Linked DNA regions of Arabidopsis thaliana. The protein of the gene in region 2 binds, or shares a complex with, the protein of the main gene of each other region. Each region holds a gene or a part of one and is shown on either strand. Other genes may lie near its edges.

What was found. The genes of interacting proteins can lie anywhere in the genome.
Region 1: PnsL4 (region 2) and PnsB4 share a complex: the UniProt entries of both Arabidopsis thaliana proteins name them as parts of the chloroplast NDH complex.
Region 3: PnsL4 (region 2) and NdhO share a complex: the UniProt entries of both Arabidopsis thaliana proteins name them as parts of the chloroplast NDH complex.

The regions. Positions count from the first base shown.
Region 1 is NC_003070.9:6,458,597-6,465,109, reverse strand, and holds PnsB4 (NDH dependent flow 6), read right to left. Parts: upstream 4,708-6,513; 5' UTR 4,486-4,707; coding exon 4,420-4,485; intron 4,344-4,419; coding exon 4,302-4,343; intron 4,267-4,301; exon of another isoform or gene 4,215-4,266; coding exon 4,037-4,214; intron 3,937-4,036; coding exon 3,881-3,936; intron 3,793-3,880; coding exon 3,721-3,792; coding exon of another isoform or gene 3,646-3,720; exon of another isoform or gene 3,267-3,645; coding exon of another isoform or gene 3,261-3,266; exon of another isoform or gene 3,117-3,260; coding exon 3,003-3,116; 3' UTR 2,766-3,002; downstream 1-2,765. Other genes in the region: AT1G18740 (ROH1, putative (DUF793)), read right to left, coding at 1-985; AT1G18720 (ER membrane protein, putative (DUF962)), read left to right, coding at 5,452-5,814. UniProt on the Arabidopsis thaliana protein: NDH shuttles electrons from NAD(P)H:plastoquinone, via FMN and iron-sulfur (Fe-S) centers, to quinones in the photosynthetic chain and possibly in a chloroplast respiratory chain.
Region 2 is NC_003075.7:18,422,599-18,430,509, forward strand, and holds PnsL4 (FK506-binding protein 16-2), read right to left. Parts: upstream 5,981-7,911; 5' UTR 5,728-5,980; coding exon 5,380-5,727; intron 5,294-5,379; coding exon 5,201-5,293; intron 5,022-5,200; coding exon 4,961-5,021; intron 4,885-4,960; coding exon 4,816-4,884; intron 4,734-4,815; coding exon 4,651-4,733; 3' UTR 4,159-4,650; downstream 1-4,158. Other genes in the region: AT4G39700 (Heavy metal transport/detoxification superfamily protein), read left to right, coding at 1,667-1,838, 2,004-2,308; AT4G39720 (VQ motif-containing protein), read right to left, coding at 6,582-6,598, 6,717-6,755, 7,432-7,911. UniProt on the Arabidopsis thaliana protein: NDH shuttles electrons from NAD(P)H:plastoquinone, via FMN and iron-sulfur (Fe-S) centers, to quinones in the photosynthetic chain and possibly in a chloroplast respiratory chain.
Region 3 is NC_003070.9:28,127,063-28,132,660, forward strand, and holds NdhO (NAD(P)H:plastoquinone dehydrogenase complex subunit O), read right to left. Parts: upstream 4,016-5,598; 5' UTR 3,959-4,015; coding exon 3,736-3,958; intron 3,642-3,735; coding exon 3,586-3,641; intron 3,496-3,585; coding exon 3,430-3,495; intron 3,355-3,429; coding exon 3,313-3,354; intron 3,236-3,312; coding exon 3,176-3,235; intron 3,080-3,175; coding exon 3,050-3,079; 3' UTR 2,766-3,049; downstream 1-2,765. Other genes in the region: AT1G74870 (RING/U-box superfamily protein), read left to right, coding at 31-102, 330-396, 483-1,213; AT1G74875 (F-box protein), read right to left, coding at 1,408-2,054, 2,599-2,683; ARR15 (response regulator 15), read right to left, coding at 4,528-4,792, 4,895-4,965, 5,058-5,135, 5,344-5,420, 5,519-5,598. UniProt on the Arabidopsis thaliana protein: NDH shuttles electrons from NAD(P)H:plastoquinone, via FMN and iron-sulfur (Fe-S) centers, to quinones in the photosynthetic chain and possibly in a chloroplast respiratory chain.

The sequences.
Region 1 (6,513 bases), on a different chromosome or scaffold from region 2:
AATGAATCGAATCGATCAATTCATTCATCAACCTCGAACTCTTCTCAATCCTATCAATCTCCTTAAGCAAACCACAACAATTCTTCCTATCTCTTCTCTTAGATTCCTCAACAATCTTATCGTGCAACGACATAACCGGAGCTGCCCATTGGAAATGCCTAGGCACAAAGAAGTTAACTTGCAATCCACGGTCTTGACAAGGAATCGCAGCTACCAAAACCCACATCACAAAAAGCAAAACCGAAGTCATTGTGTAAACCGGTACAGCTAAACCATTGCTAGCAACGACATCGTTTGGTCGAGGCGTTGCCAAGTTACTCGCTAAAGCTTGTAACTGCTTAGAAGCTGACCATGATCTTGAAACACTCCAAGAAAGAGATCTGAAATGACCAATCGAACGGTGGTGACTGTCTTTGACTCTTCCGAATGAACGGTTACGATGAGCTAGATTGGTTCCAGAAGGATGATCTTTCTCGTCAAGCATTCCGATTGCTAAATCAATCAGAGCTTTCTTAGCTCGCCGGAGCTGACCTTCTCCGATCGGACGGTGACTATCTAAAGCAGAGATCACAATATCGGCAAGTTTCTCCCATTGACGGATCTGTTCGATACCGTCGCGGATGGCGTTACAGACATCTAGAGCTTTGATGCTCCGTTCGAAGTAATCTGAAATCAAACGGTCCATCGGAGATTTAGAGATCTGAGATCGGTGGTTGAATACGATAGCTCGAAACTCTTCTTGACAACAGAGGAAAGAATCAAGAAGCTTTCCGATCCATTCGAGAGAGAGAAGGTCGTTTGAAGAAGCGTTGAGATCGATGAATTTCTCAGCGACTTGTCTTTGAAACGAATCTAGCTCAACCTCCATGGTGCTTGGCTCGTGGTGGCTACTACTTCCGGAGACGACTGTTGATGAGTCAACTTGGTCTCGCCGTAAACTTAGCAACGACCTTCCAAATGATCCTTGAAAATCCGTAGCTGGCATCCTCAAAACAGATGCAAAGTGGGAAAAACAATCAGATTTTTGTTTCTGTAGAAAATTCTCAGACTTGTAAAAAAAGAAGAAGACTTTTTTTTTCTTTGTTGGATTGAGAGAGAGTGATGATGATGATTGATGAAAGCTAGAAGAAGAAGAGATGTGTTTATAAAGCGAGAATTTTGACCGCGTATTTTAATATCTGCTTTAGAAACATTCAATATTGGATAATTTTCTCATTTTCCTTAACTAAATAAAAAGAAAGGTGTGACGAAATAAAAGCTATAATTTGATTTGTTGTGTGTTCTCATTCCTTTTTTATTTTCTCTTTTTGTTACTCGGTACAGTACACGCAGTGGACACGTCTAGTGGTAATAAAATAAAAGTACACAGATCTGTCTGTAATAAAATCTCAGTTTGAGGAAATTCATTGGTCACGGGGCTGTGGTATATGAAGTCGAGAATGAGACATTAATGGGTGCCACGTGGAGAAAATGGGAGCTGTGACAGAGACTTGGTCAATGCAATGCACATGTGGATAAAAAGCCAGCTAAGTCTTCGTTGGCGTGTATTGAAGAGAGAGATTGGTAAGTAAAGGGACTCGGTCCTGGTTGATTCTTTCTCGTCGTTCTAGAATGCTCAAGGACACAAAAATGTTGACATGTAATTTTGTCTATATCCTTTTTTTTTTTGGTTTAATGTTAAACTTTACACCAAATAAAAAAAAAGGTGTACATTGTACAATGAAAATCTCAAAAACACACCAAAAAAGGCTAATATAACATTTTATTAAAAGAGATAACTATGAGTTGTATCACAACTAATGAGGTGAATTGATAGAACCAAAGTAAAACTCAAGGAGAGAAATGCTGATAGTGATATCCTCCAGCGAGAAGGAGATGAGACGACTGCGTATAGTGCGTAACAAGAGACTCAGTAGCATGGATGGTACTAGATTCATTTGAGAAAATCGTTTTATTACGCTCATTATTAATCAGATAGATCGAGGTTTGAAGAAGGAGTTTCAAGATCTTACTTACAAAATGTGGAGGTGTGGATTGAACATTCAAGATCCACAAGGAGGCTGACGGAAACGAGATTGTCTATATAATCGTATGATAGTATAAATTTTGTGTTGAAATGTGTAATGGTGTTTTTTGGTAACCGAAAATTGAAATGTATTATTATGAAACTGTATAATGAAAAAAAATAATTATAATGGAATATGGTAAATATGTGTCATTAACAAGTCATCAATCATGTTTGGGCCAGAATTAAAATTGTACAACTATAAGAATTAATTGACACACGACAAAATACACTACATGCAGTGATGCAGATCTTTTTTTTGTTTAAATAAAAATGTTACATCATATCTCCTGTCATGTGTTCCTAACACACACACAAAAAAAAGAAATATCTGAAAATTAAACTTAAATTTGAAAAGAAAACAAAAACAATAAACCACACGTGTGGTTTACAATTACAAGCTCGAAGAGGCTTTGAAACATGGAAGCACGAAGGTTACTGACAAAGACATGACAAGCTCTCCTTCTTCACCTCTGCTAACTTATTTTTTGTTTTTAAAGATTGATTAGTTTTGGTTTTTGTCAGGTAGAATCGTGCAGAAGCGTATTTCCCGCTAATTGTTCCTCATCAGACTCACTTTCCAGTCTATACGACCAATTAATTTAGCCCCAATTGACTAAATTTTTTATACTTAAAAATAATAAATATTCACTCTGACCAACTTGCGACCGAAGAAATCAAGAAAAGCAAATTAAGATAGTTTACCAAACATAATTATTTATATTTTTAAGACATCGGATGTCGTCAACAATAAATTTCTGAAGGAGACAATTGCTCCTAACATGATCGTTCAATGATTCAGAACACAAGACAACAAAGAAGTACATAACATATATTATATATATGGAAGCTAGAGAGTATATATAATGTTGCATGACTGATATAAGAAAATATATAATGTGTATGTAAAGTGGTTTATGATTCACAAGTTAGTTTTCTACTTAGTAACAGCTTCTTCAAGCTCTCTTAAGCCACCAACCTTCTGTTCAATTTCTTCGATAAGTTCTTCACGCCATAGCTCCGCTCTTGCTTTCTCTTCTATGTCTTCTTGCTGCATCATATAACCCAAAACACAATAACAACTCTATCCAATCTTATAATAGTTGTACACATTGTGAATCTGTGATGATATACCAAAGGTCAATGGCCCGAGCAAGCCCAGCCCGACCCAACTTAGGATCAATGTTACCTACCATCAGATCTGTTAACGTTTGAATTATTATATCAAGCCCAACCCGGCTCAAACTTACTAAGCATGATTGATCTATCAATAGGATGGATCAATGTTACCTACCATCTATCAGATTGTGACTTTCGTTTAGATGATCAAGGTTGTGGATTCATATTTTTGGGTGCATATATACCAACGGTAAACGCTAACCTAAAAGCCACCTATTTTTCTTTGTTTAGGGAGGTTTATCGCATGCTGAGACACATGGAGGAGTACTCAAAACCGGCTCTGAACAGGTCTACATGGCCTACTAAGACCAAGGTGGGATAGTCTGAGGTCAAACTAGATCTGAACTGGTCCACAGGGTCTAGTAAGACCACAGCGGGTTGGTCGGTCCATTGCAACATCCCTAGTTATAATTTGTATGCATTTCTAAGTTTTTTTCTTTCTTTCCTAATAGTATTAGAAAGGGAGAGATACATACAGTTTCATAGACCCAATATCCAGTTCCATCCCCTCCATCTCCACGGTACTCCTCTGAGTCGTAGAATGGATCCTGTATTGATCCAATATCACAAAGTACTATTAAGATCCCAATGCAGCAAATGTATCAAAAGATTCAGTTTGAGTTGTTGTTTTCATACTTTTGCTGAACCGAAGTACAAACATCCCCAACAAGTGAACATGATGTAGAACATATCTGCCATATCAAGATCAATATCAAAACATAAGAAAAAGAAGAAAAAAAAGTCTAAGAAAGAAAATAAAATCTCTCAAGAAACCCCAAGTGTTTAACTTACAAACATTCTTGATAGCTTTATCACTTAGATGCCACACGTGTTTCTCTGTAATGATATCACGCATTCCTTCTATTTGTTGAACCATCACAGCCATTAATGGCAAATCATGTGGCAATGCCTTTCTTACACATAAGCTTCCTCTCATCAAATTCCTTTCCCTCTTCTCATTAACATTCTTCTAATTTTTCAAATTCTAAGACGTAAATTCACAAGAATATGGAGATTTTTTTTCTAATTTTAGTCTTAGTTAGAGAAAATTACTTACAGATAGCCAATATCCATGATTCGGTCCTGAATTCTGCTTCGGCTACAACACAATACACAATTCTTAAACTTTTTTTCGTAATGAAATATTTTTGGTAAGAATATAAAATAATATGTACCGAGTGATTGTAGGAAGAAGGAATATGAAGATTTGTGAAGGTGAAACTTGTGAAAGCTTCAGCCATTGTTACTTCTTGATGGTGGCAATGGAGAAGAAAAAAAAAAAATGTTGGTGTAATCTTTTTTATTTTTTCATTTATTTTAATCTTTAAGATTAGATTTTTTGAGGCAGAAAATGTGTGGATAAGGGAATTGGTATCGTCCACTCTTCACTTTTGTGATAAACAAAATAAAAAAATAACGTACGTTAGCAATCACATCGCATAACACTTTTTTTGTCTTTTAAAAGCCCAATTTAGACAATCACAGTACACATTTTAGCCTTCTAAAACGCTCAGGTTGGGAACAACTATTTGCCTTAAAGAGTGGTAAAGATATTTCCAGCAAAATTCAACTACAAACTTTCGTATTTTACCCGTCCAACAAACTTTCCATTCGCGCAGGTTAGCAATCACTAAACACGTTCACTCCTCTAGACGTGCAAGTTAGTAACCACACTAAAATTGCTAATAAATCTTTGGTTGGTGAAATTCAAACTTTCCGCTTATGTCTCTTCCCAAATACATCATTTGTTGAATAGCGTACGTTGGCAACTATTGCCAAACTTTTAATGATATTTCCATCTAATTCAACTTCCTATGCGCGCATGTTAGCAATCATCCCAAATACATCATTCGTTGAATAGTGTATGTTCTATTTGCCAAACTTTCAATGATGTATATCCATCTAAACCAGCTTTTATTCGCGCATGTTAGCAATCACAATAACACGTCTACTCTTCTTAGCGACTAGTATTTTGTCAAAAGTCGGAAGAAAATCTCCGGCCAAGTCAACTTCTATCGCTTTAAAAAGCGCATGTTAGCTATTAAAAAGCGCACGTTAGCATCATTTTCGGGAAATTGCTAATCAAACTTTCCACTTTCGTCTTCTTCCCGTGTATATCTTTAATCTCCTCTGTTTGGTGACTATTATCCAATTTCCACCGATCTTCTCCTCATAAAAACACCTCTTCCTCAACGAATTTTTTATCCATGAGTCGCATAATGGGATTGTTCGATCTCGAGAAACACTTCGCCTTCTACGGTGCTTACCATAGCAATCCGATCAACATTCTAATCCACATCATCTTCGTTTGGCCAATCTTCTTCTCAGTTTTACTTCTCCTCCACTCGTCGACCCCAATTTTCGACCCCTCTCAATTAGGGTTTTCTCAATCGTTGACCCTCGACGGCGTTTTGCGATTTAACGTTGGGTTTATATTCGCCTTGATTTATGCTCTGTTCTATATCGGTTTGGATAAGAAATCTGGATTTGTAGCTGCTCTTATGTGTTTCTCTTGCTGGGTTGGTTCCAGTTTTCTTGCTGTTCGACTAGGATCTTCTCTTGCCTTAAAGGTTAGATTTTTTTTCTCTAATTTCAATTTAGGGTTTTTGAAAAAACTTCATTTTTGGAGAAAATAATTGCGTAGAAGCATGTTTATGAGGGTATATGACTATGTGTATCCATGTGTTGCTCTATGTGTATATTTATATGATGTGAGTGTGGTTCATGCATTTATTGTTCATTGTTTTCTATGCTTTGACTTGAAAGTTCGTTTATATCATTGGTTATGCTCGGGGAAGAAGAAATAGATTTATTTATATCATTAGTCCTCTCTATCTGTTGTCTATGGGTCCCTTCATTAGCTGTTAACGTTGAGACAGCAGTACTAATATCATGTCTCTAGCTTTGAACATTCATGATTAGTAGTTATTGCAGTTTGTTCTGCAATTGTCCACCTTTGCACGGTTCTGATTCTTTGGTCCGGAGACTTGTCATGTTTTTAGTGTTGTTGACTCATTGGTTAAGAGGATTTGATGTGTGCTTGGACGGAAACAAGTGTTGTTCTTGACCACCAACATTTGGATGGTCTCAGATAATTAGAATCTACATCACTTGTTTAACTAAAGTTTGGTTTTTCTTCCATAGTATTTGAGACATCTGTAACTTAGGAGCTTTTTTATGTATCTTCTGTGTTGTGAATCATTTGATTAGTTTATATGTATCTTCAGTCTGAATCATTTGATTAGTTTGTTATATGTATTCAACAGCAA
Region 2 (7,911 bases):
ATAAACTCGTATAGAATCATGCCAATGATGCCATATAAAATACAATTAGGAGTTAGGAAATACATTTAAATAAATATCTAACGGCTGCCGGAAACTTCTTATCGACAGTCTTTAAATAGAGTGCATAAACTTGTTATTATATGTACCGAACGTTGAAGGTTTGCTCGACAACTCCAAAACATTATAAAATTTTGTCAGCTAACTTACCACTAATTATTTCGATCGAGTGAGGAGTCACCTTCATATTCTTATCTATATTTTTATATATATAACAGAAAATTTATAAATTCTTGTCAACTAACTTGCCACTAATTATTCGAGTGGAGTCCCCTTCATATATTCATAGATACATATAACTACAATTTATTATGTCAGCTAACCGTTGGTATTAGTATGAGTTACCAAAAAGGCAAAGATTCGAATTTATGACAAGTTCTGTTTATTGATAGACGAAAGAAACAAAATTGTCCCTATATTCAAGATAAAAAGAACGACTTTAATTACATGTACGTATTTGTATTTGCTGGACGATAATAAACATACAAATTCAATTTTGAGGAGTTGAAAATATTCCCTAGCTTCATTCCAGATAATTATATGAGTTTTTGTATATCTACTATTGAATTATTACGTAAAATTATGAATACGTGAAGAGAATGTAATACATACTATGAAACAGCTAGCTAAGTTGAGAGGGGAGGTGGCACAACTCCTCCAATAAGGAGACAGCCTCACACGCGTATTCCAATCGGCGCCGTCATATTGCCACGTATACAATTGAACGCTCGAGATCTCTTCCCCATACGTGTGAAGCTGTCTCGTAGTGAGTAAATATTAACTTTATAAATCTCCACGATGGTTCTTGCTATTTTTATATATCACCTTTAAATTTTGCTAAATTTGATCATTGATCCTAATTAATTTAATAATGAACCGACTATTAATTATGCTTTAGATAAATTAGTATGAATTCGTTAATAAATGCATGGCTCTCTCACCTTCTTTCTGTCTTCCTTGTGAAGAACAACAAGATTTAAATAAAAATACCTAAAGTTATTATTCCATGATTTAGTTGTATTCACATCACATGGATTCCCTTTTCCCTACAAAGCTTACCTTCGTATATATGCTAAGTTAAAATAGTAACATATATACATTTGTTCAACAATTGGATACAAATATGAACCAAAAAAACAATTGGTTACAAAAATACTTTAAATGATTGAATTTAGTATGGTTTTAAAGCGTATATATCCCTTTAGTTCCACTTTTCCCATCAAATATCTTCTTAACTAAACCACAAGGTCTTTGGCAATTGGCATATATATTGCTTACGGTCTAAGTTCTTAAAGACATCTTTTTCTATTTTTTATAAAGTTGGCCAAATTTGTGTCAATTATAAACACAACAACATACTTTTTCTTTCGTACCAATACAATTATATACACAAAAGTAATTCTTTATTAAAATATCAAATTAAGGCCTTTATAAGTCGAGGCAACCAAGCTAACAACTCATTGCAAACTGAAACCAAAACAAATATCTATACAAACACATAACACATATTGAGAGCCAGAGTGAAAAGAATTATACCCATTACTAATCGCCTTTATCTGTGAATTTTCTTGATAAAAAGAAGACACAAGTCAAAGATAAAATCAACAAGATGGGAGTTGGGGGAACGTTGGAGTATATATCAGAGCTAATAGGGAATGGAGGAAGCCATAGTTATGGAAAAAGGAAGAAGAAGAAGCAGTTTCAAACAGTAGAGCTCAAAGTTAGGATGGATTGTGATGGTTGTGTCCTCAAAATCAAAAACTCTCTTTCTTCTCTAAAAGGTAACTAGCTTCTTCTTTTATAATCAAAATTCTCGTCCGAATTTGTGTTACTGTCCCTTATGAGATGTGTTTGCTTACTCCTATCTAAAACTTATATAAATACATGCATCAATCATCATGCATGCATATATATAACATGAAAAATCTTCCTTCATATATTTTCAGGAGTGAAAACGGTGGAGATAAACAAGAAGCAACAGAAGGTGACAGTGAGTGGTTATGCGGATGCGAGCAAGGTGCTGAAGAAGGCTAAAGCGACGGGGAAGAAAGCCGAGATATGGCCGTACGTACCGTACAACTTGGTGGCTCAGCCGTACATAGCTCAGGCTTATGATAAGAAAGCACCGCCTGGTTACGTCAGAAAAGTTGACCCAAACGTCACCACCGGGACGATGGCTGTTTACTACGATGACCCTTCTTATACTTCTTTGTTTAGTGATGATAATCCTAATGCTTGCTCTATTATGTAGTTTTTTTTTATTTATTAGATAATTTATAAAGGAATTTATATAATATATGCCGGTAATATATGCATAAATGTGGGTTATAAATTTTGGTGTTTGTTCTCTTTTAGTTCATGGTTTTGTCTTCTTTTGCATGTGCTCTTTGTTGGTGTTACAAGTGAATGTTTTATTAATATTAATATAGATCTAGTATTATATTAGCTTAATCAATTGGATATCGTAAGTAATCATTGTTTACTATCATTGGAAGATATAAGTGGAAACTAGTTAATTTTTTCTATGCTAGTTTCAAACTTACAAAACAATAACAAAGACGTTTGTTTTTGGTTAAGGTGTTTCATGGTCTTTTAATTTGAGTTTAGTTTTTTGGGACCCCAATATTCTAACTCTTTTCACCCACTCTCTTTCTCTTTTACATACATTATTAAAAGAAAAATCCAAAAATGGATAGTAAAGATCGATCACATAAAGCTTAAAAAAACTGTGTATCATAACATACACGGGTCATGTAATCTTTCTATACATACAACTACCCCCACCATACTATATTTTAAAGGACTTATTCAACAATTTTTACTGATATGATTCTTGCTCTTCAGTCTTCAGGTGTAAACAAAGTAAGAGCATCCTCAACAATAAGCTCTTATTAAAAACCTCTTAACAACAATAACAATGATTATTTTATTATAATATTATTATATAAATAAATTTTAAGTTTAAGAAAAAAATGAACCAATGTATAAGTGACATGTGGCTTAGGTGGTTTACTTGATTATTAAAAACCTCTCTTCATTCTCTTATCTAAGAGCTCCTCTTCATTTTTTCTCTTCTTCTTTCCATGTTTTTATTTTTATATTACTAGATGAATTCCCACGCTACGCGTGGGTTTGTTTTAAAAATTCTTTAGATAAAAATATGTTAATTATTTTTGTCGCTAATTTATGTTTACTTTTTGTTTGTTATTTTATACTTAGTAAAATTAGACTCATCTTATGTACTTACATTTTTATTGTTAGATTCATTTTTGACTCTAAATATCAATTTTTATATATTTTCATGTATAATCTGATTATTTTTATATCCAAAATTCTAAAATTTGTTCATTATCATGAATACACACAATAAGAATATAAGATATTTTGATTTCAAGAGTTTTCGTATGAAAAAAAAGAAGCAAAAATTAAAGAGTTATTTTAGTAACACTTTTTAGATTTTATACTATTGCATATAGCCGTATAAGACAAATGGATTTGTTTTGAATTTTGTGGTATGTTTAACGTCTCAAAAGTCTATTACTTAAAAATATTGAATGTCAATGTTACGAACTTACCTAAAGATACAAAAATAAAAATACAGAATTTCATATGATAAGATATGAACCATAACGTAATAATAATTAAAAAATCAAGGTAAAATAACTACACTAATATTAGGTAGCAAACAAATAAACTACAACATAAACAACTATTTAGTCATTATAGAGTGATGACCATTGACCATTAAAATTTTTAAAAATAAAAAATAATAAAAGTAAAATAAAAGTAGTAATTGATTTATTTAAATAAGTAATTTTATTTATATTTATATTTTGAAAAAATCATTTAAGAAATGAATTAATGGAGGATTTAACACAATATGAGATTTTTTATTTTCTCTCAATTAATTTTGCTAATTTTAATTTAATCAATATTAAATGACACATGATATTTTCTTATGTGATGATGTGTCACCCATATGGAGAGAGTTGGCCAACTTTCATATATATGATTTCTTTAAAAACCTCATTTATCTTAGAACCCTCCATTGAGGATGGCCTAACATCAGCCTTTAAGAACCTCCGGTACGCTGTAAATTAGCTCATGCACTGTGTTTTTCCTGGAAAATCGAAAAATGAAGATTTGTCTTATGTATTTTCAACATGCTCAAGTAGGCAAGAACCAAAGTTTTACACTTTTTTTGGCCTTAAGATTCATGAGTTGTTGTGAGGGGACCAATTACAGAGATATGACACCGATGAAAAACCACATCACACAACTTTATTCTAGACTCTGTACATCTTTGTGACACAAGCTGCATCACTTACCAAGACTGAATCTAACCTAACACGCGCTTATACATTTATGCAAGTATATGATTTTCCAAGGTCATAACTTAACAAAAAGACAGATCTGCACAGAGAAGATGTGTCTTGTTCTTTAATAGGAGGTTAGACATTGGATTCAGTTGGAAATCATCAATGTTTTAGGTTACAGAAATTATAATCTGAAGCTTGTCAAAAGTAATCACCTGGTGATATACATCACATACATAGTTGTTTGTTCCTTTACCAAACGGGATTGGAGTTGGCTTCATCTTGTATTACTTCCTGGGTAGATCTCAACAAAGTTGATATCATAGAGCAAAGTTGCATTGCCAGGTATGTTGCAGTCACCTGCATAAAGAGTCGATTTATTACTCGAGATACATATCTTACATATACAAGTGAAACTGTTACAGAGGAATTGTGCAAGTACCAGAAAAGCATCCTGCAGGCTCTGGTCCATAAGCTAACTTAGGTGGAATCTGAAGTTTACGCTTTCCGCCTGCAAAATAAAACCGCACCAATATGTTATCAGCCAAATAAAGGACATTGAACAAAGGAAAATACAGTACACTTGCCTACTCGCATAGGAGGTACTCCTTCGCCTCCAAGAATCCCCTGGTCTAGTCCCCTAATTACCTGATCATTTTTGGACATCAAGAGTTTAGATATATAGTTGTTTTGCTCACCCTAATCACAAAGAAGAACATAAGAAACTAACTAACTTCAACAAAGACAAGTGTGAACTTTGCTAGCAATGCAATTGAAGACTATGGAAGCTAACAAAGAGAGAGAGAGACAATGGTTCTTTGTTGTACCTTGCCGACTCCAATTCGCATAGTAAGTGGTCTTGCACGCTTATAGCTACTGTCAAACAACGTTCCATCTGCAAACCTCGCCGTGTAATGGATCTGTGTGTGTGTGACCAACTCTCCAAAGTCTCAAACTTTGAATCAAAAACCCTAAACAGAGGAAATTAGAGAGATGGAGAGATTACATTGACGAGTACGCCACGAGGGGCTTCATCACCAAATCCAACATCGAGATCGCAAAATCCAAGTCCTGATTTTGCGTAGCTGTATTCGCAGAGAGGATCTCCTACAGTGGCGTAGTAGTCAATCCTCGTGGCGTCTGCGTCCAGAGGCGTTAGAGAGAGAATCGAAGAAGCTAGGAACCCTAAACCCACTCCGAAAACGCGTTTCTTGACGGAGAGTTTCGGCTCGCAATCGGAGGAAGAAGAACAGAGACACGAAAAGGACGAGGAAGAAGAAGAAGAAAAGAAGATGGTTGGTCTGAAGGAACGTGTATAGAGAGATTGTGTGAGTGTTAAAGTAGAAATCGCCATTCTTCTTTGAGTCTTCGTTTCGATCTCTGCTTCCTTATCTGCGTGAAGCCAGAGCCTTTGGTCTGAATCTTTTGTCTTTTGAGTGTGCAACGGTACAATGGATATGATTATGGGACCCACCCGTATTTTTTTGGATTTCTATTTTCAACAGAACAAAAATAATAATGAAACTTTTGGAGCCAATCGGCCCACAAAATTGAGAACCCGAATCGAATTATTTGGATAGTAAGATAATGGCCAGACCTAGTTATCACTCAACTATGAAACCGAGTATCATCTGAATACATAGAAAACCCATCAGTGCGACAATAGCTTGATATCATGGTCCACCATAACCACCACCATAATATTAAACCATCATCATCACCCATTATTATATATTCCATTTAGATAGAGATACACATATATGCACATTGTTGATAGTTTATGTAAGTGATGTGTATAGGTTATACAGTGCATTGGTGACTTAAGTGTAACTGGTCCGTGGACAAAAAAATATCAAAATCATTTGAACTTTTGTATACACAAGAACAAGCAAAAGATTTTTCATCAAATGTCATTATTTGTTTTGCGACCATCAATCCATCATCAAATCTTATTGTGAAAAACAAGAATTATTATTTTTAAGAGTTACTATTATACTATACAGTAGCAAATGATATTATTGAAAACCCCGCTTACAAAGAACTGACATTTCATTCTGAAGTGTTGTTAAGCTAGAGACTAGAAAGAGATATAAATTAAGCTGAATATTCTAACGATTGATTGGTTAATGAGAAGACTGAAAAAAGTTAGGAATTTTGTAGACGCATCACATTCAGAGCCGTGACAAGGTCAATGGTTGTCGGAGGCGGTCAAATGAAATTTGCCCCTATTCACAAACAAAGAGACTTATAATAATAGAAGTAAAAGTGTCTATAAAGATAAATTGTCATATGACAAAAGTAGGTCAAAACCAAAATGTATGTATAATTATCATTATTGATTACCTGTTTTTCTTTTGCTTGGGAAATTTTCAAATTTCAAATCTGTTGGTATGGTAAAATGAGAGTCAAGTCAATAAAAATTGACGTTAATGTAGATGATACACCAAAAATGAATAAGCACATGGGAGAACAGTAATTTATCAAATTTCAAATCACCACAAGTCTATAATTAATTAATAATTATATACTATGGTCCCAAAACCATATTCCACAATCCGGCGGCCGTGGAAGATTCCCCAAATTTCGCCACCATTCACTCCAATATTAATTAGGAGAAATATTAACCGTAGTGATCCCAAAACCACGTACTGTATATTGATTGTTGAAAAATTAAAATTTCATATCGCAAGTCATCGTTGTCATTAAAATTTAAAAGTTCTATATAATTATAAGAAAATATACCAAGAAAATCTGATTCAAATGGTGAGATCCATCTACTAACTAATACTTACCAACATATAGTTATGGAAAAAACTAAGATTAACAAATAACAAGCATATTAATTAAGTATTAAATAATTAACAAACCCTACACGAAAAAAGTTTTAAAGTGGTTTATACTGAAATATAGAATATATAAACGAGTAACTTCATCATGCTATATGTGCTATGTTTAATTTGTTGAGTAATCATGTCAAGAGATTAGCTTTGATTTCGGACTTGGACTATACATAAATATATTTATGTTCTCTGGTCGGAAGACGAAGATAACCAAGTACCGTCATTATTATGTTCATGATCGGAGCCACCGTAGCTTCCATTATCACCGGTGTTTATGTTCCCGTTAGCCGCTGCCGTTGTAGTAGGAGGATTAGTAGATGGAGTCTGCATCATACCAAGACCAAACTGATCGTGCTCATTGCTTCTAGGGTTTGAAATATGAGCTTGAAGAAGAGCTTGCAGATTCATATCCTCGAAACCGTTGTTAGGGTTTTGATATTGCTGAATTTGTGATCCGGATAAGAGAGGAGTCGCTGGAGTGAGTTTTTGAGCAAACGGTCGTAACAAGAGATTGTTGGTGTTGTAAGTGTTTGGCGAAGAAGAAGACAAGCCGAGGAAAGTGTTGAGGCGCGTGGTGTTCACGATGGAGTTGTTGTTGAATAGCGGTGGAGCTGGGATTCCGGTAAACTCTTGAACCATCGCTCGGAAGTTGGAAGTATCCGTCGTTAGAACCGTCGTTGGTGCTCTTCTTGATGCTC
Region 3 (5,598 bases), on a different chromosome or scaffold from region 2:
TGTGTGTGTTGCTCAAAGATTATCATCATCATGGTTGCTGTCACAGACTCTGAACTCTTTCATGGCTCTCCGATTTCAACAGATTTCTCCAAGAAACGCAAGGTGTGTTCTTCGAATTTCACTCCAATCTTAATGCGGTCGATTCGTTTCTTGTATCCGAGTATGTACGCTTGATTCAAAAGAAAAGTATAATCGATCCGCGTCTAATACCAAATCCCCAGTTTCTGTGTGATTCGAAGAACCGTGTTTTTCGTTGTCATGTGGATACCTTTTAGGGTTGATAATCGTCAATTCTTAATCTATGCATCGAATCTTGTGTGCATTTGCAGGCGAATTGGTTTTGTAAGCTGAAGCAGTGGAAGATTGATGCTCGTCGCAAACAATGGATTTCTCAATGTAAGAGCCTTTGAATCTTTAAGTTTTCAAGTTTTGTTCAATCTTTCGAGTGTTGATGATGATGAATTTGTTTGTGAATGGTATAGGGAAAAAAGCAAATGTAGATGAAGAAGAAATTGGACGTAGATTGAGATCTTTGTTAGAGAAACTGACTGATCAAAAAGCTTGGAGGATTGATTATGATGATGATGAGGATGATGAGATTGATCTTGAAAGGACATCATCATTTGCTAGTAGTCCCACGAGTGTTCTCAAGAGGAAAGATTCTGTTAGTGGTGATTGCTTTTGTTGTTCTAAGCAGATGACTGAGGAAGAGGAAGAAGTTTTTGACGATGCTTATGATAACTGGGATGGGTTTAAAGATGCGTTAAACTCCTTTGAGAATGATAACAACGAAAGCTCTCGACTTGTGACAGAAGATTTTGAGCAAGAAGAAGAAGATCTGATTCCAGATACAAGCCAGAGGATGAACAAGTGCAAGCAAGAAGCTGCACCTGGAAATCAGACGACGATTCACAGAAACAGTAATAAGAAGAAGAGGTCTAACTCTGAGAAGCAAAGAGGTGATGGTGATGAAGAATGTCCTATTTGCTCTGAGTTGATGGATGCAACGGATCTAGAATTCGAACCATGTACTTGTGGGTTTCGGATTTGTCTCTTTTGCCATAACAAGATCAGTGAAAACGAAGCACGTTGTCCAGCTTGCAGGAAGGATTATAAAAAGACGAGTAAAAAAAGTGGAGAAGTAGGTTATCAGCAACGTGGTCGTGGCACTATTCCCTTGTCTCCGTCGTTTAGAGGACTTGACAGAGCTTAAGAGAGAAAGAAAGAAGTTCCAAAAGTTTCATGAAACTTTTTTTCTAGTTTTGTCCTTAGTTTCATCAGGAACAAGAATTTTGTGGTTTTGCTTAATTAGATTGTTGTCATCTCGGCAATAAATTTTCATTCATGTTTGTGAATCATATAATACACATAAACCAATATTAGTCTTTTATTCGATACATCAAAAGATCATTCCTTAATATTAGCAAAGAAAAGTTTGACTTCATGATGGCACAAACATATCTCACAAGCGGAAGAAGTAAGCATGTCGTCGTCCTCACCAAAACGATGACGAAAACAATAGTTGGGAAAGATCTCGGTTCGACCATCGCAATTGCAGTTCTCACGAACATAGCTTTTTTGTAGGTGTCTCATCATCGGTTCGCCCCACCACCACATATTTCTGATATGTGTCCGATGTTTTTCCATCTCCTTGATCGTATTTGACAACATCAAAGGTTTTCGTAGAGAAGACAAGATCTTGAAACCATTTTGTTTTGTTTTGCCACCAAGACAAATTAGGATCAACCCATAAACATATTGTGCTTCTTGATTTCCATTGTTTGCAGTTTTTGCTATATGTTTGAGTCCTCTGTCTCGTTGACGTTCATGACTATCCCGATGAAAGTAATCGACAAGTCCTTTACGGTATATAGCCTCTAGGTTTCCACTCTTGCGACATCTTTTGAAAAAATTGTGAAATTTTTTACGGTTGCGCCATGGTAAAAGAGGGATTTTATTGAGGGAAAGCCGCTGCAGAATGTATCGATCGTTGCTGATACGTTTAAACGATTTCGAAACTAATTGAAGATTGCGAAACTCGGATAATGATGAAGCTGCAACACATTAAGAGATCTCTACAAGAAGGTCTTCAGGTAGAGAATCTAGAGAAACAGAAACTGTCATTCTGTGGGAATTCTTGAAAGAAGAAAAAGTACTATGGTTTGTTTAAGATTGTGAGTATTGTTTTCTCTCTTGATTTGTTGACTCGGGTTTTTATAACAATGTTTAGATTTCCTATTCCTAATAGGAAAAGGAAGTAATACAAAAGTTTAGAATAAGCCAAAAGATTAAAAATAAATAAAATCTAAAAAAGCTTTAAAAAAAAAAAGGAAAAATACATAATAATGGGATTAAATCCTTGTATGGAGAACAAATCCAAACCCTAGATTCTCTCATTCACCGTTCACCAATGGGAAAACCCAAAAGGAGAAATCATAGGAAACCCACTAACATCACCATCACGTCAATAGTATTTTTGTGATGATGAAGAATTTATCAGAAAATGGAAGTCAAAGACAAAGCAGAGGAAAGGATTGTTTAATGAAGTTGTGAGAGATGAGATTGGCTTTGTGTCTTGTTACTCTCCTAGTCACATACATAATACATTGATTACGAGGTGAATTTGAAACATGTTGGCACACTTCCGCTTGTCTTCGTCGTTTAGAGCACCTAAATTTACCATCATCCGTCCATTAGGTCAGTAGTTATATTTGTGATGATGAAGAAGTTTCCGGTTTTCGGAAAGTGGAAGCCAAAGACAAAACCAGAGGAAATTTTATGAAGCTGTGAGAAATGAGTTTATGTTGGGAGATCGATGAGATAAAATTACCATCATCCGTTTACTGAAGCTGCATTCTTATTATAGGAGTCTGATGACATATTCCACACTCCACAACAGTTTTTGTAACTAATTGTAACGTTGATACTTTGTCAAACTCTTGAACACATGATCATGATGGTGCGCCATTGTTATCGTTCATCTCAGCTTAACACAATCCTTGGTATATCAGTTGCATTCCAAAGGATTCTTCTTGGAACCTTCTTGACTCTACATTCGCTCGTAAACAAGTTTCTCACACTGCGGTGGAACAAAAACCAAGAACACAGAAACAATCATGACTTGACATCAAGACAATGCTACGTATTGTTGATGTACTGAGAAAATTATGAGTACCTTGATGAGCATATCTGTTGGGAGCCAAGCTGGTGCGGTGGGGATACCAACCCATCCAACCTAAAGTCTCCAAAATTCACAATCCATTAGCTCATCTTATGAAACAGAATAAACAATTTGTGTGGAGACTGACTTACAAGTGCATACTCTCCTGTCTCAAAGACACGAAGGTCCAAGACCTGCAAGATTTAGATTACTTGTTCAATAAGCTTGAAATCTCTTGTGATTTATTTTCAAAAGGGATTGTGTTATACCTCGCCGCGATCTTCGTATATGTAATCAAGTCCTTTGTAGAAAGGAGGATGTCCAACTGATAAGTACTGTAATTTCAACAAATGTAGCAAAACAAAAGTTTCAGAAACAGATTTTTGAAGAAGCAGCTTCAAAACTGGGAAAGATTTCGACTATACATTGATGCTGTTGAGGTACTTCTCTTTTTCCACACGAACGATTTGGCCCTTCTTCACTGTTTTCTCATCCACCAGAAACAGAAATTCAAAAGAATTATCAAAAATCTGTTATTGGATTCAACACTTAGAAACAAAAGTGAGGGAACAGACTCGAGTAAACCGGTTTCTTGGGGAGGGTTTTAGGGGTTTTGGTTGCAGCTGGTGATGCTTCCCCATCAGACTTGCCCTGTGTGCTCTGTTTCTCTTTCTCTGCTTCTGCTTTGACTGTGAATTGAGGAAGAGATCGATGAGGGAGTCTTCTAGAAGAAATTGGTAATGAAGAGGAGATGGTTGAAAGAGAAGAAAGCTGAGACACAGTCGCAGAGAAAGCCATTGGAGAGACCACCAAGAAAAAAAATTATGTGTTCTTGGAGTTTCGGGATAAGACCGCAATGGTATCCAAGTCTCTCAACGGTCTAAAACAGACATCACTGAACCAATCATAAGATGCCACGTAAGTGCAAACAAGTTTCCTCTGCTATACAACTAGGAATATAGTAATAGATAATGTATTCCAACAAAGATTATATTCGTTTTTTTTTGTTTTCTGATGCTTGAAAGTTTATGAATTATAAACACATACAAGTGAAATCGTGTATGTCACATGGAAGATCATATACAAAATCTTTTTACGTGTACTTTTAAATTATATGTTACATTATAGAATCTAATTGATCTGGTTGTGAAGTAGGAAACAATATATATACTGTAGGCAAAGTATTTAATTTTATAAAATTGTTTAAATCATATTCACATTGATCTCCTTTTGTTTTAACAAAAAAAAAAAACAGAGTAATAAGGTGAGCATTAGAATCTAGACTTACATAGTTGCATATATCAAAAATAATGTATATTACACAAGGAAATCAAGAGAAAACGTGAGAAAAGATTGAGCTCAATCATTTAACCCCTAGACTCTAATTTGATCCTCTTGGAAGATGGAGTGTCGTCATCAAGGGAGGAAACATCATGAGACGACGATGATGAAGATGTTGATGATGATGATGGAGATGAATCAATGTCGTTTTGTAGGATTCTCTTAGGACTAAGTTTTTTGGTTTTTCCTTCTTCAGCTTCACCACCTCTCATTATAAGTTCTTTTAAACGCTTCACATCAGCTAATTTCACCGGTTTTAGCAAAAACTCCTCTGCTCCTTCTATCATACATCTACAACAACAACAACAACAAAAGAGAGGATAGACAAAAAAATCAGATTACAGTGTTAAGATCCATTGATTCAGTTTTGTATCTTTAGCTATAGTGACTTACTGTTCTATACGAGGTTGTATGTTCTCAGAAGACATTATCACTACTGGGATTTCTCTGAGTGCTGAAGACTCCTGGCAAATATACAACAGAATTTTTGTAAGGAAAACACGAGAAGAGCTTATTCAAATCTTGCTCTAATAAATGACACAAAATAGAAATTTACTTTGATCTTCTTGAGGAGTTCATATCCTGTTAGTCCCGGCATTGAATAATCCGTCACTATCAAGTTCACTTTCAAATCCTGTTATCAAAATTTGCAAAATTGTTCATATAAACGGCATCAATAAACAAATAATAAAATCATCCTCTAAAGGTTAAACTTTTGATCCACATTGTGAAACCTTAGATTTCTTGGGAGCCAAACCAGCATAAGAACACTTCAAGTTTCAACGTCTAGGGTTGATTTTGCTAGAAAACAGAGAGATTCTAAGAAATGAATGAATATATACCTTAAGACCAGAAGATCCATTGTCTCCATCTAAACCAAGATACTGCAGAGCCCTAGTCCCACTCTCAACAGTCGTCACTATATAAAGAAACCCACCAAATTTATCCAAAAAAACGAATCAGAAACCAAACAAAAGAAAAGCAGAAAACGTAAAGAGAAACAGTTTTGCCTTTTACCTTTACAAGCAGAGATCTTAAGCAATCTCTCAATAACTTTACGATCCACGAAACTATCATCAACGGCAAGAACATGTAAC